Linked DNA regions of Schizosaccharomyces pombe. The protein of the gene in region 1 binds, or shares a complex with, the protein of each later gene. Each region holds a gene or a part of one and is shown in the gene's direction. Other genes may lie near its edges. The genes, in order: naa10 and naa15.

Region 1 (3,904 bases):
GTTAACCCTGGATCAGCTACAGGTGCACCTAATGTTTCTGCTGTAGAAGATGATGAAAAAATCGTTCCAAGCTTTGTTTTAATGGATGTTCAAGGAGCAGTTTTAATACTTTATGTTTATAGGATTTTTGATGGAGAGGTCCGGGTTGAAAAAATGCAGTACAGAAAACCAGAATAATCTCATGAAATATACGATTGAACCACGGAATATGCGGTCTTTTCATCGTAAAGAAGTGTTAAATGATAATTAGATGTTTTTCTGTTTATTATAGCATAATCCGTATCTTAATTTACCGAGTATGTAGACTACCGAAAAGTATGTGCTTTCCTTACTTGCTTTTTTAAAATGAAAGAAATGTTTGAAGGTTAAATTTATGCGCTGACTTTATCCACTTTTCTTTGTCGGCCTTTCGCGTCAAATATTGTTGAACATGCTATCGTTTGTCCTGATCGATATGTATAAATAAAATCGTAGTCAAGGTTGATTTGTAAAGCAGGTTTGTAAATCTTTTTTAATAAATATATCATATGAAAAATAGATGCGTTAGTACTTGAAAAGTACGATTATATTCCAGTGTCAGTTAGAGATTTAAAACAATATAATCTCATCAACCTCAGCATCAAATGCAGCGAGTGTTTTGATTATGCTTTCTGTCATAGTTTTTCTGTGATAATACGCAGAATCTCTTGTGATAGAGTCCTTTGTTTGGGTATTCTTGATGTTTGAAACTAACCGTTCATCTGGAACATGTTTAACAGTTTCATTTAAAAATAAATTGGAGCCCGTCCTCATGCAAGACTTCGGGGTCGACGTTGCTACAGGTTTAAGTTTGTAAAATAACTCGAGATCAAATTTTAAAATGTTTAAGCCTTCGTAACCATTTACGGGGAAATCGTCAGCAGTTTTTGTCTCAGGTGTCTTAATTATTGAAAAATCAGATGGAAGAATGTTTGAAAAGGCTTGATTTTGATGAATTGGTAATGTTTGATTAGTTTTGTCTTGTAAAGCTGGACGTGTCGAATTCTTTTTTTTTGAATTTGATATTTTAGGATTCTTGTTTTTTTTTATTAATTTATACTCTAATTCGTTTTCATTATTTATAGCCATAAATGCAATCTATTGTTTTTTTTCGCTTAATGTTTTATATGATTAATGCGGTTTTGTTTACATTTTTACCAATGGGAAAACCTAATGTTCGAGGTCTACTAGCTGAATTTACGAATAACAAATCTTAATGTTTTTTCGTTGAGTTTACTTAGCCTAAGTGAAACCACAAGGCTGCTGTTAAAACTTTTAAAGGAAAACCAAGGTAGTGTGACTTTAAGATAATAAAGGATTCAATCAAGCATCGCTAATCCTTTTTGATTCCACAGTAAACAAAATATGTTATGGTGATTATAAGTATTAACTTAGATTATATAATTAATGGCTAATTAATATAAAGTTTTGATTTAATGTCTTTAAGTGTGCAATCCATCGTAAACATCATTGTCTATTTATAATAAGGATTTCTCATCATCTGCATTGAAAATCAAAACAACTTAGGAAACGCAACATTAAGTAATTAGAAATTTGGTTATGCAATGTGTACTAAACGGCTTGTAACTTAAAAGGAGCTTAACGTCGAACATTGTGAGTCTCCAAAAAACATAGTTTTTTTAGCAAAGCAGTAAATATTTGACGTTAAAATACTTGACAGATAATATTAACATCAAATGAATCTTATCATTTCTAAAAGCTTTGCAGTAGTTGCTTTGCATTCCCTGAATTTCGTTTTACATTCACTGCGCTTTCTTAAAATATGGTATGCTGGAAATTTGATTCCAACCACTAACAAACAAAAATCATAGATATTGCTAAAAATTAAACGATTGGCAAGATGGATATTCGGCCAGCTCGTATAAGTGACCTTACTGGGATGCAGAACTGCAACTTACATAACTTGCCTGAAAATTATCAGTTAAAATATTGTAAGTTCAATTCATTGTAATTCTTGCTGCACGGCAATGAACTTCCAGTATTAAAACAATGATTCTTATTTTCTAATTTAATGTAGACCTTTATCATGCTATTTCTTGGCCTATGCTTTCTTATGTTGCTACTGATCCGAAAGGACGTGTCGTAGGATATGTTCTTGCAAAAATGGAAGAAGAGCCTAAGGATGGGATCCCTCATGGTCATATCACAAGTGTCTCAGTAATGCGCTCCTATCGTCATCTAGGACTTGCTAAACGTCTCATGGTTCAAAGTCGTAAGTGTTAATTGAGAGCGAAGTAGATTACGGATATATCCAAGGAGGAGCTAGAGGGAAATCTTAAGCTTTTTTGCAGTTGTTATCGATGATTATTCCAATATGTATATATTTTATTTTGTGCAAGACTTGGTCTGCTAATACTTTGAATTGTTCATTTGGTGAGTTGGTTTTTTCCTTGCAACAATTCATTTTTTTTACCTAATTTGTTTTCGACAATGTTTCCTTCCTGCTGATTCCTTGATATTTTCGGTCCATTCCTTAAACAAAATTTTTTTAAAAAAAGTAAAAGATACTAACTACTTAAATGAACAGAAAGAGCCATGGTCGAAGTTTATGGCGCCAAATATATGAGTCTTCATGTTCGTAAAAGCAACAGAGCTGCTATTCATCTTTATCGTGATACTTTGCAATTTGAGTATGTTTTTACTCGCCATCATTGAAGAGATTCTAACATTATTTTAGCGTTCAAGGGATTGAAAGCAAATATTATGCTGATGGTGAAGATGCTTATGCTATGCAGTAAGTACTTTGTTGTAAAAACTAGGTTGGGGATGGTTGCATGGATCGTTTAATGAGTATTCTTTCCAAAAACTATATACAATCTTTGTGACAATCGTTCTTTCTTTAGTTTGGTCAACTTCTGTATAATTACCTACGTTGTTTCAGACAATATATGACTGTTCAACGTCATCACAACTATCTAGGTTACTAACAATTTTTAGCAAAGATTTTTCTACTTTGAAATTCGATACACCAGAAACCAACGACGAACTAGCAAAAACCGTTCAATCTCTTGCATTGAACAACTAATAAAATATATACCGTTATTTCTAATTAGTGAATTAGGGTGTAGTGTACGATACTGCAGTTATAACTTCGTGATAGCGTATTTAACATTTGATTGTACTCGCTTACTGGTGTACTAAATATATTTCGAAATAACTCTTGTAATTTCGAGTTTTTGTTTATCACATCTAACTGCCTAATCGTGTCGTTTGGTGTTAGGTAGCCCAACACCTCGATAGTCATACTGTATTACTTGTCACCAATATCCACTGCATTTTTAGACGAATACCTATTTAAGCTGAAATGACTTCTATAGCAAAAGCTTTTGTTGAAAAGGCGATCTCAAACAATCCGGTTACTGTCTTTAGTAAATCGTTCTGTCCTTTCTGCAAAGCAGCCAAAAATACTCTTACAAAGTACTCTGCTCCGTATAAGGCTTATGAGTTAGATAAAATAGGTAAGTATGGTATTCTTCATTTGTTTAAGAGCTGAAGATTCAGTTGATCGATTGTAAAGTTTCTTGAGTTATGTCTACATAAATTAAGTATATGAAATAATAGTCTAATTGGGTTTTCGAAACCTCATAATTGTGTAATGAAACTACGAAAATTTTTGTTTCCTTCCATGATCTTGAGAAATAGCGAAACATTTCAAGTTTTTTGTTCTGCTTTTCATCCTTTTTAACTAACTTGATGTTACACTAGAAAATGGATCTGACATCCAAGGTGTGTTTAGTTAACAAACTGATTTTATCATATGCTTACCTGAGCAGCTTATTTACATGAAAAGACCAAACAGTCTACAGTACCCAGCATATTCTTTCGCAACCAATTCATTGGAGGTATGAACCCAAATTTGTTTTCC
Region 2 (5,096 bases), on another chromosome or scaffold:
CCAGATGGTACAATTTTTTATTATTCTTTTGTTTACGGATGACAGTAAAAGGAATGTAATTTTGGTTGTTTTAGCTTCCTTATTGTTTTCGAATACAGAGGTATTCTAATATGCGAATTATGTTGTACCTATATTACTGAAATAGCTCATTCATGAGGGACGTGGTTTAGTACATCCCACTTATAGCCTTGGGAATGCTATAATTGTAAATGTTATTTTACAGTATCGTTTAACTAGTAATAAGTATCTGTTTTGGTAGCTTTATTATGCAAAGCTAACAGAATGAATTAAACACCGCACATAAAAGTGATATGCAAAAACGTAATACAATGCAATACAGTGTAGTATGGCTGGGATAAAATAACAGCTGTACGATGCTCCTCCTAATAAAAGTAAGCAATAACAAGAATACAAATTGCCCCCACTCGGAATCGAACCAAGGATCTTCGCATTACAAGTGCGATGCTGTACCACTAAGCCATAGGGGCAACGTTGATTGCTGCAGATTTGAAGTAACATATTAATAAGTAGATATTTTTGTAAGATTCCATTAAAAGAGAGTGATATTCATTGTTTATATAAAATACTATTGTCTGAAAGATAAAGAAGTTTTTATAAATTTTTTCTTTTTAGAAATATAAATTATAGTAGAAAATGTGAAACTTTTTCTTGCGCGGGATCTTGCACTTCGCAAATCTAAAAATCAGTATTCGACTCTTTAAGTCTCTTCAATGCTTAATTTACCATAATTTCTCATCCATTGTTTTTTCTTAGATAATGAGATTCATCCAGCGTTCTAGTTAATATAAAAATCTTTCTTCACTTGAGGATTTGAAGGCTAATTACGGTACCTGCTTAGTAGAATACATATCGTTAAATTAAAGAAACTTTTCTTATAGCGTATTTGATACTTTTCGTGTGTTGCAATTAACTTGTTAATTGCAATTTTTTTGATTAAAAAAAATAATGTATCCTTCGCATTCGAAAGGATATTTCAAATTTTTGTGCAATGCATCTCTGTTTGCCAAATACTTGAAAAGCAACGAGTTCTTCTTCTACTGAGAACTCCGCAAGGTAGGTAAATCTCGTGTAGCTGCTAAACAAATCCTACAGATAAGAAAAAATTGCCATTATACTTTTTTTCTGTAATATTTTTAAAGGCACAATTATCCAATTTTGTTTAACAGAACTAGTGTATTGCTAGATGAGGAAGTCTGTAGAAATGTGAAGTCGTATCCCATAGTATCAGGAATTAGTAAATTTAAGAGATTTTCAATCCACTGATTGTTTTAACTTCTCTAGTTTGTAATGTACCTTTTGTTTCAACCTTGGATGTTGGGACGTTTCTAGTTGAGGAGTGAAGCTACGAACCGTTTTAAATAATTAAGTGGTATTGCCAAATAATAATTAGTTTATAAATATACTGGAGTATACTGGTTTTCTATTCAAAAGATTCCCGATAAACTTTGCCTTACAGATATGTAATACCGTGTCCCCAGTAATTGCAAACAACTAGCAATTGAACCAATAATGAAAATTGATGTAGTCATTTGGTTCATCGATACTGGCCAAAATACTTAAAAATAGTTTGTTTACTCTTTGAATTTTCGTATTTTCATATAAGAAGGACATGCAAAAATTGTTCTCGATGTGCCATCTTTTCATGTTTACCATCCATCGTCCATTGCATGGCTATTCGATAAGTTTCCATAAACGATTTTTTGAATATGTAGTACTCAGCGAAGTATGAACGCAATGTTTGCTGTCTTTTTCTACAAAACCATTTCTTCCAGGTCTAACATTCAACGATACGAGATAATTTATGAATCAACGTCTTTTTATAAGCACAAGACAAAGAGTAATGAAGAAGAAAGCAACCTTGCAATGTGGAACACATTAACGAAATTCATTCCAAGGGTTCGTACTCTTCCCAACCTGTCCTCTACACTTACCCATGGCCAAAGTTCAACTGAGCCCGAAGGAGATTACCCTTTTTAGAACAGCATTAGTATGTTAATCTTCTACAATTAACAAATTGAAAATTTCTCTAACCCTGTAGAAATGCTATGAAACAAAACAGTACAAAAAAGGATTAAAGGCTATCGAACCCCTGTTAGAAAGGCATCCAGAGCATGGAGAATCCTTAGCAATTAAGGGAATTTTATTACACTCTTTAGGTAATACCAAAGAAGGATACGACAACGTACGACTTGGTCTTCGCAACGATGTTGGATCCGGTGTTTGTTGGCACATTTTCGGACTAATTAGCAGAGCCGATAAAGATTATGTACAGGCCGCTAAATGTTACATTAATGCTCATAAGCTTGAGAAAAACAACTCGAGTCTTTTGCGTGACTTGGCGTTACTCCAATCTCAACTTCGTCAATACAAGGCTCTAGCAGACACTAGGAATGCTTTGCTGCAGGACAATCCAGGAGTACGTGCCAATTGGAGCGCTTTAGCAGTAGCTCAATTTCTTCGAGGGGAATACGCTAGTGCATATAAAATAGTGGATGCATTTGAATCCACTATAAATCAAGGTGTGCCCGTTGATACCCAAGAAGAATCCGAAGCCATGTTATTCATGAACCTTGTTATATTAAAAAAAGATGGTGTTGAGGATGCCTATAAGCATTTACTGTCAATAGAAAAGAAGGTATTGGATCGGGTTGCGTTTTTGGAGACTCGGGCAGAGTACGAGCTTTATCTTTCCAAAATGGAAGAAGCCAAATCAACCATATATCTTCTGCTTGATCGAAATCCAGACAATCACCAATATTATTATAATCTTCAAAGAGCGTATGGGTATGAGGATGCCAGTGGTAAAGTATTGGATAGTGCTGAGTGGTTGAATTTATATTCTCAACTTGCTAAAAGGTATCCCAAATCTGAGTGCCCTACGAGACTACCTTTAGAAAAGCTTGAAGGGGATGAGTTTTTAACTCATGTAGATCTTTACTTGCGCAAAAAGCTTAAGCGTGGAATCCCATCTGTGTTCGTCGATGTCAAATCTTTGTACAAAGATACCAAAAAATGCAAAGTTGTTGAGGATTTGGTTAGTAAATACGCTTCCTCTCTTTCTACGACCAACAAATTTTCTGAAGATGACGATAATTCACAGATTGAAATTCCCACCACGCTTTTATGGACATATTACTTTTTAGCTCAGCATTTTGATCATGTTGGTGAGTTGGAAAAAGCTGAGAAATATGTTGATTTGGCAATTGATCATACCCCAACGCTTGTGGAGCTGTTCATGACGAAAGCTAGGATTTCCAAACATAAGGGAGAGCTTCAAACTGCCATGGAGATTATGGATCATGCTCGTAAACTTGATCTGCAAGATAGATTTATTAACGGCAAGTGTGCTAAATATATGCTCCGTAATGATGAAAATGAACTTGCCGCCAAAACGGTATCGTTGTTTACACGCAATGAGGCTGTTGGTGGTGCTGTTGGCGATCTTGCAGATATGCAATGCCTGTGGTACATGCTTGAAGATGGGAAATCATTTGCTAGACAAAAAAAATTTGCTTTGGCTTTGAAACGTTTTAGTACTGTTTTTAAAATATTTGATACTTGGGCTGATGATCAATTTGATTTCCACTTCTTCGCATTTCGCAAGGGATCTCTTCGTACATACCTGGACTTAATGTCTTGGGAAGACAGTGTTTATGACGATCCTTCGTTTAGAGAGGCTGCCCAAGGGTCTATTGAAATCTATTTTGCCTTATTTGATTTACCATTTGCTAAATATAGCCCTAAATTACCCGATTTTGAGAAGCTTTCTAGTGGAGAAATAAATGAAGAAGAGGAAAAGAAGATATACAAGAAGCTGAAGAAGGACCTTAGTAAACGATTGGAACGTGCTGAGAAGCTAAAAGAGGCCGATAAATCTCGTGCAAAATCTGAGGACGGTATGCCGGTAAAGTATGATGAGGATCCTCTTGGGGAGAACTTAGTTGCTACTAGTGAACCTTTGAAAGAAGCTCAAAAATGTCTTGAAAAATTACTCCCCTATGGAGATAAAAACCCAAGTGCTTACATTTTGGCGGCTCAACTTTACACTCGTTTGAAAAATTTCGATACCGCTAGTAAATACCTCGAACAAGCTAAAGTAATTTTGGGACAGAATGACCCAACTGTGATATCTACAGAGAAGTTTTATAACTCTATCAAAACTCAGTCTAACTAAAATAAAAGGTTTTTTACTTTTTGTACAATAATAGAAGCTGCAAACCACTTTGTTTAACAAATTAGTATGGAAAATAAAAGTGCATGGAAATAATATAAAGATGGTATTTTCATTGTTTTGTGCACCCCATTGTACCATTGAAATGTCTTGTTTTATTATATTGTTACAGAGAGAATATTCTGGTATATTTAACAAATCCCGGTTTTTGCCTACGCATATATATGTAGCATCACCAACCCACACGTACTTAGGATATCCGAAACGCAATTGTCCTTCAATTTGCTTACGCTTTGATTAATTATTACTCATCTTAATCAAAGTTAAATTTTTATTTCATTGTAAACACATTTAATATGTTGTTTGATGCTTTTACTAACGGATTTATGAATGATATTTTTGAATTTGGTGACCGATCGAAATTCAACAGATCGGCATGGTTATCGTGCTGGGGCCCAGCATTGGAGCTAAGAGAAACAGAGGATACTATTGAAGTTGATGTTGAAGTCCCTGGAATCGATAAGCAAAACCTTAAAGTTGATTTACATGGATCGAAGTTGACTATTTCTGGTGAGCGTAAAAAGCCAGAGGAAGAAAAAGCGGGCCCTCTTATTCGCTGGAGTGAAAGATGTGTAGGTGCTTTTTCACGTACGATAACCCTTCCTCAGCCTGTCGATGAAAAACTTATACACGCTTCTCTTAACAATGGTATCCTAAGCATTGTTATGAAGAAAAAGAACCCTGAGTTTACGACAAGAATTGTTGAAATTCAGTAGTTTCAAATACTCAATGCTAATTTAAACTATAGCATTGTCTTTTTTTGGTCCTGGCATTTTAATGCTTGTTTTATGTTTGTTCACCACCTTTTTTGCATGACATCCGATAAACTGCATGTAACAGATAA

Evidence for each region.
Region 2: the proteins of naa10 (region 1) and naa15 are in contact, whole or in part, in a crystal structure (PDB 4KVM), measured with the Schizosaccharomyces pombe proteins. Residues at the interface, in NP_594309.1 of Schizosaccharomyces pombe: Met1 (codon at 1,880), Asp2 (codon at 1,883), Ile3 (codon at 1,886), Arg4 (codon at 1,889), Pro5 (codon at 1,892), Arg7 (codon at 1,898), Ile8 (codon at 1,901), Ser9 (codon at 1,904), Thr12 (codon at 1,913), Gln15 (codon at 1,922), Asn16 (codon at 1,925), Leu19 (codon at 1,934), His20 (codon at 1,937), Asn21 (codon at 1,940), Leu22 (codon at 1,943), Pro23 (codon at 1,946), Asn25 (codon at 1,952), Tyr26 (codon at 1,955), Gln27 (codon at 1,958), Leu28 (codon at 1,961), Lys29 (codon at 1,964), Leu32 (codon at 2,059), Tyr33 (codon at 2,062), Ala35 (codon at 2,068), Ile36 (codon at 2,071), Ser37 (codon at 2,074), Pro39 (codon at 2,080), Met40 (codon at 2,083), Tyr43 (codon at 2,092), Pro48 (codon at 2,107); in NP_588160.1 of Schizosaccharomyces pombe: Gln185 (codon at 2,558), Glu189 (codon at 2,570), Leu219 (codon at 2,660), Asp220 (codon at 2,663), Arg221 (codon at 2,666), Val222 (codon at 2,669), Arg251 (codon at 2,756), Asn252 (codon at 2,759), Asp254 (codon at 2,765), Asn255 (codon at 2,768), His256 (codon at 2,771), Gln257 (codon at 2,774), Lys294 (codon at 2,885), Cys297 (codon at 2,894), Arg300 (codon at 2,903), Lys322 (codon at 2,969), Ile327 (codon at 2,984), Ser329 (codon at 2,990), Val332 (codon at 2,999), Asp333 (codon at 3,002), Ser336 (codon at 3,011), Val414 (codon at 3,245), Glu415 (codon at 3,248), Met418 (codon at 3,257), Asp444 (codon at 3,335), Asp447 (codon at 3,344), Arg448 (codon at 3,347), Phe449 (codon at 3,350), Ile450 (codon at 3,353), Phe474 (codon at 3,425).

What each region holds. Positions count from the first base shown.
Region 1 is NC_003424.3:3,727,928-3,731,831, forward strand, and holds naa10 (NatA N-acetyltransferase complex catalytic subunit Naa10), read left to right. Parts: upstream 1-1,825; 5' UTR 1,826-1,879; coding exon 1,880-1,970; intron 1,971-2,056; coding exon 2,057-2,251; intron 2,252-2,566; coding exon 2,567-2,669; intron 2,670-2,716; coding exon 2,717-2,773; intron 2,774-2,976; coding exon 2,977-3,064; 3' UTR 3,065-3,088; downstream 3,089-3,904. Other genes in the region: retromer complex subunit Vps29, read left to right, coding at 1-177; moa1 (meikin), read right to left, coding at 589-1,107; glutaredoxin Grx2, read left to right, coding at 3,344-3,497, 3,745-3,765, 3,813-3,881. UniProt on the Schizosaccharomyces pombe protein: Catalytic component of the NatA N-terminal acetyltransferase, which catalyzes acetylation of proteins beginning with Met-Ser, Met-Gly and Met-Ala.
Region 2 is NC_003421.2:1,360,674-1,365,769, forward strand, and holds naa15 (NatA N-acetyltransferase complex regulatory subunit Naa15), read left to right. Parts: upstream 1-1,944; 5' UTR 1,945-1,954; coding exon 1,955-2,008; exon of another isoform or gene 2,009-2,043; intron 2,044-2,059; coding exon 2,060-4,195; 3' UTR 4,196-4,280; downstream 4,281-5,096. Other genes in the region: Hsp20 family protein, read left to right, coding at 4,549-4,968.